Linked DNA regions of Macaca mulatta. The protein of the gene in region 1 interacts with the protein of each later gene in a pairwise test. Links are inferred from orthologs where the notes say so. Each region holds a gene or a part of one and is shown in the gene's direction. Other genes may lie near its edges.

What was found.
Region 2: the proteins of CKS1B (region 1) and CBY2 interact in binary tests that used the Homo sapiens proteins (3 or more experiments, as listed by UniProt). The two-hybrid records come from large-scale screens. The link is inferred for Macaca mulatta from reciprocal best matches to the Homo sapiens genes CKS1B and CBY2.
Region 3: the proteins of CKS1B (region 1) and MEOX1 interact in binary tests that used the Homo sapiens proteins (3 or more experiments, as listed by UniProt). The two-hybrid records come from large-scale screens. The link is inferred for Macaca mulatta from reciprocal best matches to the Homo sapiens genes CKS1B and MEOX1.
Region 4: the proteins of CKS1B (region 1) and XIAP interact in a two-hybrid assay, tested with the Homo sapiens proteins (3 studies listed by BioGRID and IntAct). The two-hybrid records come from large-scale screens. The link is inferred for Macaca mulatta from reciprocal best matches to the Homo sapiens genes CKS1B and XIAP.

The regions. Positions count from the first base shown.
Region 1 is NC_133406.1:112,025,627-112,030,412, reverse strand, and holds the start of CKS1B (cyclin-dependent kinases regulatory subunit 1), read left to right. Parts: upstream 1-1,339; 5' UTR 1,340-1,414; coding exon 1,415-1,473; intron 1,474-4,645; coding exon 4,646-4,773; intron 4,774-4,786.
Region 2 is NC_133422.1:24,984,100-24,988,127, forward strand, and holds the end of CBY2 (protein chibby homolog 2), read left to right. Parts: intron 1-1,585; coding exon 1,586-2,776; 3' UTR 2,777-3,257; downstream 3,258-4,028.
Region 3 is NC_133421.1:68,004,903-68,009,687, reverse strand, and holds the start of MEOX1 (homeobox protein MOX-1), read left to right. Parts: upstream 1-1,815; 5' UTR 1,816-1,959; coding exon 1,960-2,428; intron 2,429-2,824; exon of another isoform or gene 2,825-4,785. UniProt on the Homo sapiens protein: Mesodermal transcription factor that plays a key role in somitogenesis and is specifically required for sclerotome development. Required for maintenance of the sclerotome polarity and formation of the cranio-cervical joints.
Region 4 is NC_133426.1:130,341,170-130,344,434, forward strand, and holds the end of XIAP (E3 ubiquitin-protein ligase XIAP), read left to right. Parts: intron 1-744; coding exon 745-938; 3' UTR 939-2,470; downstream 2,471-3,265.

The DNA.
Region 1 (4,786 bases):
CCCCTCTCTACTAAAAATACAAAAATTAGCCGGGCGTGGTGGCGGGCGCCTATAATCCCAGCTACTCGGGAGGCTGAGGCAGGAGAATCACTTGAACCCAGGAGGCGGAGGTTGCGGTGAGTCGAGATCGCACCATTGCACTCTAGCCTGGGCAACAAGAGCGAAACTCTGTCTCAAAAAAAACAAAAAGAAAGAAAGAAAAGAAAGAAAGGAAAACGGCTGCCTTTAATCTCACTCTTCACAGTCAGAGATAGGAACTTTGACTTCCCACCTGGGGGAGCACGAGAGTGCTCGGAAAACTGATCCCAAAGCCCAAAAAAAGACAAAGGACAGGAAAATATAAGCAGGTGGAGTTTCAGGGATTGACGACAAGGCTTTACAGCTGATGACCCAGGTCCCACAAAGCTCGTAAGGGGGCGTGGTCCGCCAGGACGCGAACTTCAGACTTCTATGCGGGGAGGCTTTCTGGACAGTCAGACACGGATTACGAACAGGGCGTGGCTTCGGAGGGGCGGAGCCCCGAAGAGGCGTGGCTCCAACAAATTCGAATCGTTCTTTGAGGAGCAGGGTTTTGCCCTTTTGGGAGATAGGCTTTTTGACAGGAGTTAGCAGAGGATCGTTGCTAGGAGGCGGAGTTTCGGAGAATGGAAGGAGTAACCAAGGGTTTCACGTAGTAGGGCTTGGAACGTGTCTGGGGGTGGGACTTCCAGGAAAACTGGGCGACAGGGTGGGGTCGGAGACAAAAAATAAAAATCAAGTCGGGGTTCGGGGGAGCCCCCAGAGGTTGGGAGGTGGGACTTCCGGGGAGAGGGGTCTCAGGGGCGGGACTTATAAATGAAGACCGGAAGTGGGGTCCCGGGAGAGGGGTTCCGGAGTGGAAGAGTGAGTCACCTAAGGAGAAAAAAGTCAAGACTCACCAGGGCCTCATGGAGTCTCCGCACCGCACCGCGGGCCGATTTGGTTCCGGATCACGCCACTGCCAGCTTAGGTTACCGCTCCAACTTTCTCCCCGGGCCCTGCCTCCCTGGAGAAACTTTATTACACTCACTTCCGGCCTCACTAACCCCTGACCCTCTACCTCAGGGTCCCTCCTTCACGCTTCCCACTTTCCCGAGTTAGCCAATGGCAGCGCGAAATCGTGCACAGAGGCAGTGGTGGCCAATAAGACGCCTACTTTCGACCCACGCTCGTTCTTGAGAAACGTAAGAACTGCCCTCCAATAAGGACCCAAGAGAAGTAAATCTAAGCCAATCGGAGGCTTGGAAGTACAGCTGTCCCGCCTTGAGCCAAACGGACCAATAGGAAGTGCGGGCGGCGTGTTTGAAAGCGAGGCCAAAGTGGGTGGGAGCGCGTGCTGCTGGGAGTTGCTTGGAGGTTGGCGGCGCGGGGCTGAAGGCTAGCAAACCGAGCGATCATGTCGCACAAACAGATTTACTATTCGGACAAATACGACGACGAGGAGTTTGAGTATCGGTTAGTGCTGGCGCGGGGGCAACAGCGAGGTCGTGAGCTTTGACCGCTGAGGAAACAAGCAATTAGTAACAGGAACTGAGGCGATAGAATTGGCGCATGCGTACGAGATGTGAACGGGCAAGGGTGTGATATTGGTGGAAGGCGTAAGGCGCATGCGCGGAGGTGGGAGCCTCTCATAAAACAATAAAGTGGTTGCGAATTTGGAGTCTGCCCTCAGTTGAGAGGAGGGAGTGGTAGGCGTGGTTAGAGTACTGACCACCCACACCCATGAGGGTTTCTGGATCATTCTCTGAACTTTATTGGGCAAACTTAACTTGCCTTGTAGAAACTGTTAGTTTTACAGTAATCCTGTGGAATCCAGTGGGAGAACGTAGCAAAAGCGGAGCTTGGAGTTTCCTCGCGTCCCTAATGCGAGAGTAGCGCTGAGAGAGTTGAATATTGCTTATTAACTCGTGAAAAAGACAAGGGGCATGGTTGTCTGGCTTGTGTTAGGAAAGGGACCGCTTGGGACTGAAATGGAATAAAACTGGCTAGGAGCATTGAGAAAATACTTAATATGGGTCTAATAGATGCCCTTTATCAAAGGAAACGGTTACGGAATACTTAACAGGTTTCAGGTGTTCTGCAAGGATAACACATGGTCTCTGCTGTTCACAAACTTAAAACTGTGAGTGATACCGACGGACACCAGAAAGGTGATAACACCCTTTGCTAGGAGCCATTACAGGGTGTGATGGGAGCACACGAGACTTGATAAGGAGAGGGAACTGGCGACCCGAAGGCTGCGGCTTCCTAGCTGTGCGCGGGTGTTGGGGTGGGGCTAGAAAGTCAGTCCCCTACTTTTGCTAACTCCAGGACCCCCCCCCACCCCACCCTTCGAGAACCCCCGCCGCCACCGCCTTAGAGGCTGACTTCTTACTTTCGGTCGGTCTTCTTCCCTGGGCTTGGTGTGGGGGCGGGGGAGTGTCCTAAAGGCCAATTCAGTGTGATGACTCTTTCACCACCATTGAAAACGAAACCAGTAGTAAACTAAATACGCGTGTTTTCATTTATATGTCGGAGATGAGAACACTGGGACAGAAAGAGGGGAACAATAGACGTTGGGGCCTACTTGAGGGAGAAGGGTGGGAGGAGGGAGAGGTTCAGGAAAAAAAAAACTGTCGGGTACTATGGTTAGTACCTGGGTCATAAAAGAATCTGTACACCAAACCCCCGAGTCAGGAGTTTACCTATATAACAAACCTGCACACGTACCCTTGAACATGAAACTTAAAATACTGAGAGGAAAAAAAAAGGAAGAGGGAAAGTTGGGGAAAGCTTGCTAGAGGACAGAGCCTGAGATGAGACTCTAAGAAAAAGGTATGTGGGAGAAAGCACCTCTTGACTGAAATTGTTTAGAAGACACTGGATAGCCATCTGCCAAGGGTGGGGATGATGGAATCCTGGCACTGGATACAGCATTCGGGTTTGATAAATTTCAAGTGCATAATCTAGATTGGGAATAAGGGAAGACACAGGACTCCAAAATGTTGGCATTATGCTAATCTACATTGTGATAATTAAGACCACTTCCTGGTTTGTTATCTTGTCTCCTCAGATGGAGAACATAAAATGAAAACTTGCTTTTCTTGTCTCTTCACCCAGCCTAGTTCAGGGCTTTAGGTCTTCAGAGAACTCGATGTGCATTGACACATATATAATCATCTTTATACCAAGACGACTCCAGATCCTCTTTGATATAATTAACTGTCTTTTCCTCAGCTGTTTTCCTCTACATCTGAACTAAACTAACTTAAAACTGTATGTGCTTATAAGAGATTTGCAGAGCTGGGAAGGAATCACCATTTCATCCCCTAGAAGATGAAACTTTTAACTTGGCAATGGCATTTTGGTTTAAGAGGGGTTTTTTGGTCTATGTATTGAAGCCAAATTTTGTGCCAGGGTGGTGGTAGGATGTGAGCTGTTTTCATATATTTGGACTAGAATTTTTTCTTTTAGGAGAATGGGGGGGAAACCACTGTTACTAGCACAGAGAGAGAACTTAGTACATTTTCACTGAGCATGATGAAGACTATCTGGATTAGTTTGAGTCACATCAGGGTAATAATTTCTTTGCCATGAAGGGAGACTTATCCTTGGTTAGAAAAGCACGGAATTTCCCAAAAAAAGTCTCAAGGTACATCCCTCCAGAATTAGGAAGATAAGATTCAGGATAGATTTTTTTTTTTTTTTTTTTGGAAGAGACAAGGTCTTGCTTTATTGCCCAGACTGGAGTACAGTGGCTATTCACAGGCACAACCATTGTGCACTGCAGCCCTTTTTTTTTTTTTTTTTCTCTTTTTTTTGAGACGGAATCTCACTCTATTGCCCAGATCTCAGCTCACTACAACCTCCGCCTCCTGGACTCAAGGGATTCTCTCCTGCCTCAGCCTCCCAAATAGCTGGGATTACAGGTGCATGCCACCACACCCGGCTCTTTTTTTGTATTTTTAGTAGAGATGGGGTTTCACGTTGTTGGTCAGGCTGGTCTCAAACTCCTGACCTCAAGTGATCCACCCACCTCAGCCTCCCAAAATGCTGGGATTACAGGCATGAGCCACTGTCCCTGGCCTATTCTGTATTTTAATCAAAGATTTCAAACTTCATACTGTATCTTTGTCAAACTCCTGAGTTCAAATTACTCTCCTGCCTCAGCCTCCCGAGTAGCTGGGACTATAGGTATGTGCCACCATGCCTGGCTTAGATTTTAAAGGATATTTCATTTCATCCTTTGTGATGACTTGTCCACACAGTACTCCATAAAAGGCGTTTCCTCTCCACAGAATAACTTCTCTTCCTTCCTTCTAATTATTAACACTGTGTGCTCCGTGGGGCTCCCATTATATTGTAGGCAATCAACTAGAAGACTATAAGGTCCATGAAGGCAGAGAAAATGTGCCTGGAACTTAAGTGCTTATTCACTGGAATTATTCACTAATTTGTATTTTTCATATACTCTCAGAATTTATATAACATAGCCTGTATTTCTAGCTGCTGCTACCCCACAATAAAATTATATAAACTCTGACATCAGAAACTAGTTTTTCTTTCCTTTCTTGGCCTTGTAAACAGGCAGTTGTCTGAGACTATATCTGGTACTAACAAATTCCTCACTTCTCCGTTTCTGTTACAGACATGTCATGCTGCCCAAGGACATAGCCAAGCTGGTCCCTAAAACTCATTTGATGTCTGAATCTGAATGGAGGAATCTTGGCGTTCAGCAGAGTCAGGGATGGGTCCATTATATGATCCATGAACCAGGTCAGTGCACTGG
Region 2 (4,028 bases), on another chromosome or scaffold:
CCTGAGGGAGCTGGTTAGAAATGCAGATTCCTGGGCCACACCCCAGTCTGAGTGAATCAGACTCACAATGGGAGGCTCAGAAATCTGCATTTAAAACTCACTGGGGTTATTCTTCTGTACTGGGACGTGTGAAAGCTACCAACTCAATGGAGTTAAGTTCTGTGGATCTGAACCCCGTTTTATGCTGTGGTCTTGAGGTCTGTGGCCACCATCATGAATTCTTCAGGGTCTTTGGCTGGCTGTATCACCACATGTTGAATGCTCATTGCTCAGTGATATGTCTGGGATGGTTTTTCTTTCCTTCCAAAATTATTAGTTAGACTCTGCTTTGAGTCTAGCATTGCATTGGAAGCTGGAGTGGATGTTTAAGGGGCTGCTAGCAGAAAAGACGCAAGGGTGGCTAAGAGTGAAGGATATGCCCAGATGGGCAAGAGAGAAGGCTGGGCTGATCAATGGCACCACCATTTCGGACACAGCAATTTGGGTGGCTGTTTGGATGATTCATGCTGCTTCTCTGCTCATGCTAAGTGAGAGTACACACCTGTGGGCAGTGGCCCTTGAGAACAGTGTTTGTTCCTCCTTTAGGGTGACAGAATGTGCTAGAGCCCATGCTTAGTGCTTTTGTACATTACCTTTTTTAATCCTAAAAATGTCTCTAGGAGTCAAGGAGTAAATACAATTATCCCAATTTGAAATTGTGGAAATTAAAGCTCAGATAACTTGTCCAAATTCTTGTTAACTGGTAAGTAGTGAGGCAGAGACTCAAAATATTTGGTTGACTCTAAAATTAATGCTTTTGACCTCCATAATATATAACTGTTTCTCATTATTCATGGATTCCATATTTGTGAATTTGCCTACTTGCTAAAATGTGTATCCACCAAATCAATACTTAAAGCACTTTTATGGCAATTCTCAGACATGCACAGAGAGGTGAAAATTTGAGTTGTGTAAGGCTGAGTCCCCAGCCAAGGAGCCTTCTTGTTTCAGCTCTCAGGCTAGAAAATAGGGTCCATTGCGCAGTCGATCTAGTGCTACTTTTTTTTTTTTTTTTTTTTTTGCCTTCTTGTGCATTTTGTTGGTGATTTTGCTGTTAAAAATGGCTTCCGCGCCATTCCAAGTCAAGTGCTGTCTAGTACTCCCAATCACAAGAAGGCTATGCTGTGCCACATGGAGAAAACATAGGTGTTAGAGAAGTTTTGTTTGGGCATGCGTAACAGTGTTGCTGACGTGAGTTCGATGTTAATGAATCAATAAACAATAAGCACTAAATTAGGTTATATATTGTTTGGTTGACAAAATTGTGACCACAGGCTCCCAGGAATGTAGCCCTCTATTTCCCATAGGAGCAATGGTTCTATATTTGGTAATTCAGCGTTGGAGATGACTTAATAGAACAGAACTCACTGGAATGACAAGGATCCGCCACATTTCCTTGTGAGGACCCCAAGAGGCAAAAACGCCCACTGTGGCCAGGCCAGACAATCAGACGGGGCTTATCCGGGGATGTCCTCGCCCCTTACTTTGTCAGCCAGCCCCGAGTGTGTCTGTCCCATCGTTAACGCTTTCCCATTCTCTCCCGCAGAGGGGCACAGCCGAGCCCTTCCCGAGGCTCCACAACTTGCACAGCATCCCTCGCTGCGCGCAGCAGGCCGCCCTGCCCCGGCTGAGCCGCAGGATGGCGAGCCAGCACTCCTACCCGCTGAACCGCTTCTCCTCCGTGCCCTTAGACCCCATGGAGCGCCCCATGTCTCAGGCCGACCTGGAGCTGGACTACAACCCGCCGCGGGTGCAGCTCAGCGACGAGATGTTCGTGTTCCAGGACGGGCGCTGGGTGAATGAGAACTGCCGCCTGCAGTCTCCCTACTTCTCCCCATCCGCCTCCTTCCACCACAAGCTGCACCACAAGAGGCTGGCCAAGGAGTTCGTGCTGCAGGAGGAGAACAAGTCTCTGCGGGAGGAGAACAAGGCCCTGCGCGAGGAGAACAGAATGCTCCGCAAGGAGAACAAAATCCTGCAGGTCTTCTGGGAGGAGCACAAGGCCTCGCTGGGCCGGGAGGAGAGCCGGCCCCCCTCACCGCTGCCGCAAAAGGACAGCGCGTCCCTGGAGGTGGTGAAGAAGGACCACGTCGCCCTGCAGGTGCCCCGCGGCAAGGAGGACAGCACCCTGCAGCTACTACGGGAGGAGAACCGCGCGCTGCAGCAGCTGCTGGAGCAGAAACAGGCCTACTGGACCCAGACAGAGGACGCAGCCGCCCCCGCCGAGGAAAGCAAGCCCGCCCCCTCGCCCCACGAGGAGCCCTGCAGCCCCGGGCTGCTGCAGGACCAGGGCTCCGGCCTCTCCTCCCACTTCGAGGAGCCCAGAGGGCCCCCCGCCCCGCAGGAGGACTCCAAGACCCTGCGCGCCCTGCGGGAGATGGTCAGCAACATGTCCGGGCCCTCCGGGGAGGAGGAGGCCAAGGCGGGCCCGGGCCTGCCCGACGGCTGCCAGCCCCTGCAGCTGCTGAGAGAGATGAGGCAGGCGCTGCAGGCCCTGCTCAAGGAGAACCGGCTCCTGCAGGAGGAGAACAGGACCCTGCAGGTGCTACGGGCGGAGCACAGGGGCTTCCAGGAGGAAAACAAGGCCCTGTGGGAGAACAACAAGCTGAAGCTGCAGCAGAAGCTGGTCATCGACACCGTGACCGAGGTCACCGCGCGCATGGAGATGCTCATTGAGGAGCTCTACGCCTTCATGCCGGGCAGGAGCCAGGACCCCAAGAAGCCCAGCAGGGTCTGAGGCCTCCGCCGTGCACCGGGACGCCGAGTTTGGGACACCGAACACTGGGCAAAAGAGAATCCCCTGCCTGCCTTTGTCGTCCTCGCCTTTCCCAACCAGTTCGTACCTATTGAAAAGCAGCGTTAGTGGCCTTCCTAAACTCAGAGTATTAATAAAGGTGTGAGGAGGCTGGGGCCAGTTGACACCAGCATGCGGCCTTTTTCTTTGGGTTTCTTTGTTTCATAAAAGATAGACAATATTTTAGAGCAGTTTTGGGTTCACAGCTAAATTGAGCAGAAAGGACAGGGAGTTCCCATAGACTCCCACTCCACAAATGCATAATCTCCCGCATTATCACCATCCCTCCAGAGTGGTACACTAGTGACAGTCTTTGAACCTACCTGGACACATCATAATCATTCCAAAGTCTGTAAGTTTGCATTAAGGTTTGCTTCTGGTGCTGTACATTCTGTGGGTTTGATTAAATGTATAGTGACATGTAGCCACCATTGTAGTACCATATAGAGTATTATAGAGTATATGTAGTACCATATAGAGTATTTTTATCGCTAAAAATCCTCTATGCTCTGCCTATTCATCCCTCCCTCCCCCTCCAACCTCTGGCCACCATTGATCTTTTTTACAGTCTTCATAGTTTTGCTTTTTCCAGAATATCATATAGTTGGAATCGCCAAGTGTGGAGCGTTTTCAGGTTGGCTTCTTTCTCTTGGATATGCATTTAAGTTTCCTCCGTGTCTTTTCATAGATTCATAGACAGCTCATTTCTTTTTAGCACTGAATAAAATTCCATTGTCTGGATAGATCACAGTTTATCCTTTCATCTACTGAAGAAAATCTTGGTTGCTCTCAAGACAGTTATGAATCTGACTTCTTCTCTCCTTTTTTCCCCTGGTCTCTTCTTTACCTCTGCCTTTATTATTGTCTCTGTTTTTCTCTTTCAGTTCTTCCTTTTTTTCCTTAATTTTTTCTTCCTCCTCTTCTCTTTCTCCTATCCTCCTTGCTCCCTCATCATCTCCAATTTCTGAGGCTATAGGAGTGGGGATAGGTCTATGGGGGAAGAAATTACCCTAAGCCAGGGCTTTTCAATTGTGCCATTATTATTTGGGGCTGGACAAGTCTGTGATGGGGGCTGTCCTGTGCATTGCACAATGTTTACCAGCATCCCTGGCCTCTACCCACTGGATGCCAGTAATAGCCACCTGGCTCCCAGCTGTGACAACCAAGTATGTCTCCAGACATTGCTGAATGTCCC
Region 3 (4,785 bases), on another chromosome or scaffold:
TACCCATCCTAGGAAAGTTGTAAGGCTCAGAGAATTGTGTGTGCCACAGCTAAGCCCTGGGCAAAGCAGAGAGATGAGTCTGGTTGGCAGCTATGACCCCATCCCCTTTACTGGACTACAACAACCTGATCACTTGTTTCAGAAGATGGCACATCTTTTCATATGCACACCCCTCCCCATCTTTTACAGCTGTTCCTGCTCCCGGGATGTGTATCTGACTGGAGTTTCTATATTAAAGGCAAGTCGTGGCTTCATTCCACATCCCTGGGTGCCCTTCCACTCTTCCTAGGAGCATCTCCTGCACCCACCCCCCAGGGCCCCACCTCCAGGCTGCAGAGCTAAGACCCAGGGGCCCCTCCTCAGGGAACCCTGGCCGTCTTCGGAAGCAGCCAGCAGAGACGCTGCTGTTAAGGCCCATGCCTGTTTCTGCTCCAATCCTGCTGCCCTGGGTTGTGGCAATAACCAGTGGGGAAGGAGTTCTGGCCCCTGGGTGTTAGGAATGTTGTCCTCCAAGAAATTGCATTAACCCTCTGAGAGACCAGCAGGGTGCAGCCATGAGAAAGACTGATTGGGCATCGAGATGGCACTTGGGCTGGCTGCCCTGTGATGTGCACCAGCCCGGAGACCCACGTGCCTGCTTGCCAAAGAGGCTCCTCTGGGGAATGAGGAGCCCCTGATTCCTATTTCCCTGCCCCAAATTCCTCGGAAGCCTCCGCCTCTAAGGGTTGAGAAAGGGAAGCAGGTGGGTGGAGGTGAAGGGGGCAGGGAGCAGGTGGGAGGAGACCCGAAGAAACTTCAAGGACCTTATTTAAGAGCCTTGCCATTGCTGTGAAGAAAAATGACTTGAAACCTCTCTAGAGAAGACTGTGGCTAATTGGCATGTAAGTTGGAGGTTAAAGAGCGGAAGGAAGAATCTGATTGTTTTTTTAAGTTACTGAGAAAGTGAGAATGTCACTCTGGGCAGAGAGAAATTCTTTTTTTCTAGAGTGTGCCTTTCTTTATACTACAGACCATAGTGGGCCGCTGAGACTTGCAAAAAAGATTTCTTTTAATCCACCTTCCTTTTTCGCAGGCAGCAGTAGAAGGGCCTTTAAATCAAATGCAATCACCAAGCTTGTCTCTTGCTTTTATTCCTCACTTCACTCCCTGGAATTTGGCATTTGACGGATTCTGGATCTGACTTAAGGCTTTTTCTAAATCCAAGACTTGGGGAATTTTGTTAGCAGTGCAATAAAAATAACTTCATAGTGTTACAGGAGGCACATTAAAGACGGTGTGTGTGTGTGTGTGTGTGTGTATGTGTGCGCGCGCGCGCGCGCGTGAGTGCTGCTTTCTTTAAAATAAAAAAAAAATACAGACAATGTTTCTTTAAAAGTCTCCATCTGCAAATCCCATTAGATGTGCATATAAGGTTTCTGATGATTAATAGTTGCCTGCTAGGGTTTTGGTTGGAGGGGATCTTGTGTGTGCGGGTTAACCCCTCCCTCTCCTCTCTCACATTTCACTTCAGAAATTTGTCACTCTCTCCCCACCGCAGGATTTAAAGTGTGTCCCAGCAGCCCTGGTCCAGCCCTCTGCAGGCATTTGCTCTGGGCTCCAGGACGAGCTCCTCCTCAGCTGGTGCTTCTGGGTTGGGACAGTGAAAATGTTTAGTGTCACTGGCGACAAATACACGTACAGGGGACCCCAGTAGGCAGGCTGGTGCATTGGAGGGGCAGGAGCAAGCCCAATATAGGTGTGTGCACACACATAGGAGTAGCTGGCCACATGTGTGTGTACTTTAAGGAGAGACTTTAGTTTAGTTTTTTTTTTTTTTTTTTTTGGTTCCTGGGGTAAATTTTCTGTTGAATATTTTTCCCTCCTATTTAATTTTTTTTCTTTTGCATTTTTAAAAATTTGAACATAAAAAGTATAAAGAATCAAATCTTTGAAAGGACTGAGGCGTGCAGCGGACAGCAGATGGATCCCCCGGCCAGCAGCTGCATGAGGAGCCTCCAGCCCCCAGCCCCTGTCTGGGGCTGCCTTCGAAACCCCCACTCAGAAGGCAATGGGGCCTCAGGGCTACCCCACTACCCGCCCACCCCGTTCTCCTTCCACCAGAAACCAGACTTCCCGGCGACAGCGACGGCAGCGTACCCCGACTTCTCAGCCTCCTGCCTGGCGGCCACCCCACACAGCCTGCCTCAGGAGGAGCGCATCTTCACTGAGCAGCACCCTGCTTTCCCACAGTCCCCCAACTGGCACTTCCCTGTCTCAGAGGCCCGGCGCAGGCCCAACTCAGGCCTGGCAGGGGGTTCCAAGGAAATGGGGACCAGCAGCCTGGGCCTGGTGGACACCACAGGAGGCCCAGGTGAGGACTACGGGGTGTTTGGGAGCACTGCCAATGAGACAGAGAAGAAATCATCCAGGCGGAGAAAGGAGAGTTCAGGTAGGTGGCTCAGGAGCAGCTGATCATTCCTTTACTGTGTGACCTTGGGGAAGTTACTCACCCTCTCTGTGCCTAGGTGCTCTGTCCATGAATTTCTGTCTAGCCTATCCAAATGCAGGAGACTGGACCAGTTACCTTTGGGGTTTCTTCCACTGAGAGTTCTAGGATTCTCTGGTGATGGGGACCGTGTCTGTGTCCCAGCACTCCTGGGCCCCAGGAAGGGTGTCCCAGCGAGAGAATGAAACAGGATCCGCAAGGATTTGGACACGTGAAATGGATCCTCTGGGTGCAGACTGGCGAGGGCTGGTGAGAGGCTTTCCTGCATCAGGCTGCCATTGAGTCATGCTCCTCCCCACCATGCTTTGGCCAGCCCCAAGTGGTGCTAGAGCCACAGGGCTCGTTTACCAGGGAAGTCAGCTGAGATTAAGGCTCTGAGAGCTAAGACTGAAGCTGGGACCCTGGGTGGCCACCCACAGCCAAGACCCTATGTGTCCAGGAGCCTAGAGGCAGAGAAGCAGGCCTGCAGCTGGATAGGAGAGTCCAGGGGTGAGGGGGAGATGGAGGACTGAGGTTTGGGGTATCACCCTGTGGAGCTGGGCCATGTCCAGGCCAAGGGGACAACTTAGCATGCTGAGATCTGGCTGAGCCCCCGGGAAGGCAGCCCCGCAAGGAACTGTGAGGGATGGGCAGCCTCCAGGAGAGTCAGGCAGCCAAGGGAGTCCGTGCTGGAGTCCCAGAGGCTGGAGGATGAGGTTGGCCTATTTGTTAAGATTCCAGCTGAAACCCTTCTCTTCCCCAGGGTGGGGACCTGCTGTTTCCTCACCTCCCCACCAGGCCCTCCCTGGTTTCTCACACTGCCTGTTCATCTTTTGTCTGGTTCCTCGTCCCGGCCTTGTTCGGAACAGGGCAGTGCCCAAGCCTCCTGCCCGCACTGCCCTGTTTTCCTCCTGACAGCTGCCCTCAGGGGCACGCCTGTCTGTCGGAGCCTGTAGACGACCTTCCCATGGGGCTAAGAAGGACAGGCCAGAAAAGAAGGGCACCAATGAACAGGTGGGAATGCTTTGTGCTTTGCTTTATCAGCACAGCTTTCCCGAGTTTCTGCTCTTAGCCAAGCCCAGGAATGCTCTGGGTGAGTAAAGGGGTCTTACCCAGAAAAGCTCAAGCTGAGAGGAAGAAGAGGCCGGCAGAGGTGTGTCAGCAGTGGGATGTGCCCTGATGGAGAGGCTTACGGTGCCATGGGATACCGACGTCAGCTCTTTTGAGTCCCACGGGTTTGGGAGATAGGGACAGCAGGTTTTATTAGTATCTCGATTCTCTCAATCTGCAAAATGAAAGACTGAAAGTTTGTGAGAACACAGAAAGAATGGGGTCAAAATAGAGTGAGCAGCTCATCTCCATTTGCCCAGGACTTTTCCAGTTTTAGCACTGAAAATCCTGTGTCCTGGGAAACCCCATGGTCCCAGGCAAACAGGAGAATTGGTCACTCTAGAAGTGAGCTCAAACCCCAGGCTTCAGGCCCCCGATGTCACACCCTTCAGTAGATTTCCAACGCAATCCTCATTTTGAAATGATGTTTGGTTTCCCTGCTTGAAGAAGCCCCTCAGTGAGCTCACAATGAGTAATAGGAACCCTAGCAGCCCTTGCGGCTGCTAAATAGAAGGGCCCTTTAAACCTCCAGCCAGTTAGATCCCCATCCCGCAAACTAACTCATCCTACCCCAGGTAGGAAATGTGCTAAGGATGAGAAGGGACTCTCAGCGACTTGACTCTGAGCTGGGTTGAAGAGCTTTCCCCTTGGTGGCGGCACCCGGCACCGTGGCTCCTTCCTCTCTGCCACTTTCCAGGGAACTGAGAGCCAAGGGCATTGAAAAGGGATAGCAAAGCCAAGAGCCTGCTGGGCTCAGGCAGAATCTTCCAGCATTCCGAGTCTCAGCAAAACCCAAATGCACCAGCTCTCTTTTTGGCAAGTGACCGATGGCCCTGCAATGCAGAGAGAGCATTCACGCTAAGCAGCTGGCCACCCAGGAGTACAGGGACACCCTCTGCTGAACGGCCTGCACACTTCAGAGTCAGACTTTGGTGGAGGGAGGTTCCCATCCGCAGAGGCCCTGGGCTTCCCTAAGGGTCCCCTCGGGAGCACCAGTAGCAGGTGAGGCAGGGCCCAGAAAGCTGACTCTCACTCATCCCTCTGTGATTCCAGACAAACTCGCTGTTCAGCATGGAAATCTTTATTGCTCAGATGCTTGAGACCTCCTTTGGAATTTAACTCAAGGGGAGGAAGGAGGCAAGAAATATCAGCTTCATAAGAGCCCAAAGAAGGGGGAAAGCGACCCAAGGCTCACAACCTACTCCAGGAAT
Region 4 (3,265 bases), on another chromosome or scaffold:
GCTGATGACATCCAGATCTCTATCTCTAGCCCTGACTTCTCCTGACCTCAAGATTTGACTCTTCAGTTACCTACTGGGTATTTTTATATGGGTGTCCTGAAAACACCTAAAAAATATCTGAAGATCCCAAACCTGTACCTCCTTTTATATTTCTTATTGGCATCACCATATCCTTGTCAGCCAAGCTAGCAATCTTGAAATCAACTTTAGTTTGTCTTTCTTCTTCAGCCCTCATATCCAGTCAGTCACCCAGTCCTACTTGTCCCACTTCAGAGGTGTCCCTCAAATCCATCCCTCTATTTCTGGAATTAGTTGTGACCTTTCCATATGCTGCTCCTTTTACCTAACCCTTGTTTTTCTGCCTGGCAAATTACTGCCCATGCTTAAATGTCACTCCTCCGCTTCCCTCCTCCCCCGATCCAGCCACTGCCAACCTGTGGAGCCTTCTCCAACTAGCCTGAGCAGAAGAACTTGTTTTCTCATCTTGTTCCAGAGCACTTTGTACATAACTTTATTACAGCACTTATCACTTTGTACTTTGTGCTTAACCTCCATAGCCTCATCTTACATCCTCTCCCACTAGCCTGTGAGCTATTTAAGAGCAGATGCCATGTGTGAGTCATCCTCATATCTCCTGGCACTTGTTGGGTGCCTGGCACGTAGTAGGGGTTCAATAAATATTTTCAATGAATGTAAACAACTAAGAAAGTCTAAAACTAGCATAATTCTTTTCTCTTTTTGCAGAGATTAGTACTGAAGAGCAGCTAAGGCGCCTGCAAGAGGAGAAGCTTTGCAAAATCTGTATGGATAGAAATATTGCTATCGTTTTTGTTCCTTGTGGACATCTAGTCACTTGTAAACAATGTGCTGAAGCAGTTGACAAGTGTCCCATGTGCTACACAGTCATTACTTTCAAGCAAAAAATTTTTATGTCTTAATCTAACTCTGTAGTAGGGATGTTATGTTCTTCTTATTACCCTGATTGAATGTGTGATGTGAACTGACTTTTAAGTAATCAGGATTGAATTCCATTAGCATTTGCTACCAAGTAGAAAAAAAATGTACATGGCAGTGTTTTAGTTGGCAATATAATCTTTGAATTTCTGGATTTTTCAGGCTATTAGCTGTATTATTTATCCAACTTTTTTTACTGTTATCTAATTGAAACCCTAGACTAAGAAGCATCATATTATAACTGAACACAATGTGTATTCATCATATACTGACTTAATTTCTAAGTGTAAGTGAATTAATCATCTGGATTTTTTATTCTTTTCAGATAGGCTTAACAAATGGAGCTTTCTGTATATAAATGTGGAGATTAATCTCCCCAATCACATAATTTGTTTTGTGTGAAAAAGGAATAATTGTTCCATGCTGGTGGAAAGATAGAGATTATTTTTAGAGGTTGGTTGTTGTGTGTTAGGATTCTGTCCATTTTCTTTTAAAATTATAAACACGTACTTGTGCGAATAATTTTTTAAAAGTGATTTGCCATTTTTGAAAGGGTATTTAATGATAGAATACTATCAAGCCAAGATGTACTGACATGGAAAGATGTGAAAGATATATTAAGTGTAAAATGCAAGTGGCAAAACACTATGTATAGTCTGAGGCAATCAAAGTATGTATGTTTCTTATATGTATAGAACAAAAGATTTGGAAAGATAGACACCAAACTGTTAAATGTGGTTTCTCTTTGGGGGGGTTGGGGAAGGGGCCTCAGAGGGGTTTTATAGGGGCCTTTCACTTTCTATTTTTTTCATTTTGTTCTGTTTGAATTTTTTATAAGTATGTATTACTTTTGTAATCAGAATTTTTAGAAAGTATTTTACTGATTTAAAGGCTTAGGCATGTTCAAACGCCTGCAAAAGTACTTATCACTCAGCTTTAGTTTTTCTAATCCAAGAAGGCAGGGCAGTTAACCTTTTTGGTGCCAATGTGAAATGTAAATGGTTTTATGTTTTTCCTGCTTTGTGGATGAAAAATATTTCTGAGTGGTAGGTTTTTGACAGGTAGACCATGTCTTCTTATCTTGTTTCAAAATAAGTATTTCTGATTTTGTAAAATGAAATATAAAATATGTCTCAGATCTTCCAATTAATTAGTAAGGATTCATCCTTAATCCTTGCTAGTTTAAGCCTGCCTAAGTCACTTTACTAAAAGATCTTTGTTAACTCAGTATTTTAAACATCTGTCAGCTTATGTAGGTAAAAGTAGAAGTATGTTTGTACACTGCTTGTAGTTATAGTGACAGCTTTCCATGTTGAGATTCTCATATCATCTTGTATCTTAAAGTTTCATGTGAGTTTTTACCGTTAGGATGATTAAGATGTATATAGGATGAAATGTTAAATCCTCTGCCTACATTTGTGTTCTTGACTAGTAATAGTAGTAGATACTTCTGAAATCAATGTTCTCTCAACATCCTTAAAACCTCTTGGAAATTATAAAAATATTGGCAAGAAAAGAATAGTTGTTTAAATATTTTTTGAAAAACACTTGAATAAGAATCAATAGGACATAAACTAGAAGTTTAAAAATGCTTCATAGGACGTCCAGGGTTTACATTATAAGATTCTCACAACAAACCTATTGTAGAGGTGAGTAAGGCATGTTACTACATAGAGAAAAGTTTGAGAGTAAAACTGTAAAAAATTATATTTTTGTTGTACTTTCTAAGAGAAAGAGTACTGTTATGTTCTCCTAACTTCTGTTGATTACTACTTTAAGTGATATTCATTTAAAACATTGCAAATTTATTTTATTTATTTAATTTTCTTTTTGAGATGGAGTCTTGCTTGTCACCCAGGCTGGAGTGCAGTGGCATGATCTCTGCTCACTGCAACCTCCCCCTCCTGGGTTCAAGCGATTCTCCTGCCTCAGCTTCCTGAGTAGCTGGGATTACAGGCGAGTGCCACCATACCCGACTAATTTTTGTATTTTTAGTAGAGACAGGGTTTCACCATGTTGGCCAGGCTGGTCTCAAACTCCTGACCTCAAGAGATCCGCCCACCTTGCCCTCCCAAAGTGCTGGGATTACAGGCTTGAGCCACCACACCCAGCCAAAGCATTGCAAATTTAAATGAGAGTTTTAAAAATTAAATAATGACTGCCCTGTTCCTGTTTTAGTATGTAAATCCTCAGTTCTTCACCTTTGCACTGTCTGCCACTTAGTCTGGTTATATAGTCATTAACATGAATTTGATCTGTATAGTCTAGACTATAAGTTTAAATTTAAAGTGTTCTACAAGGGGAGAAAAGT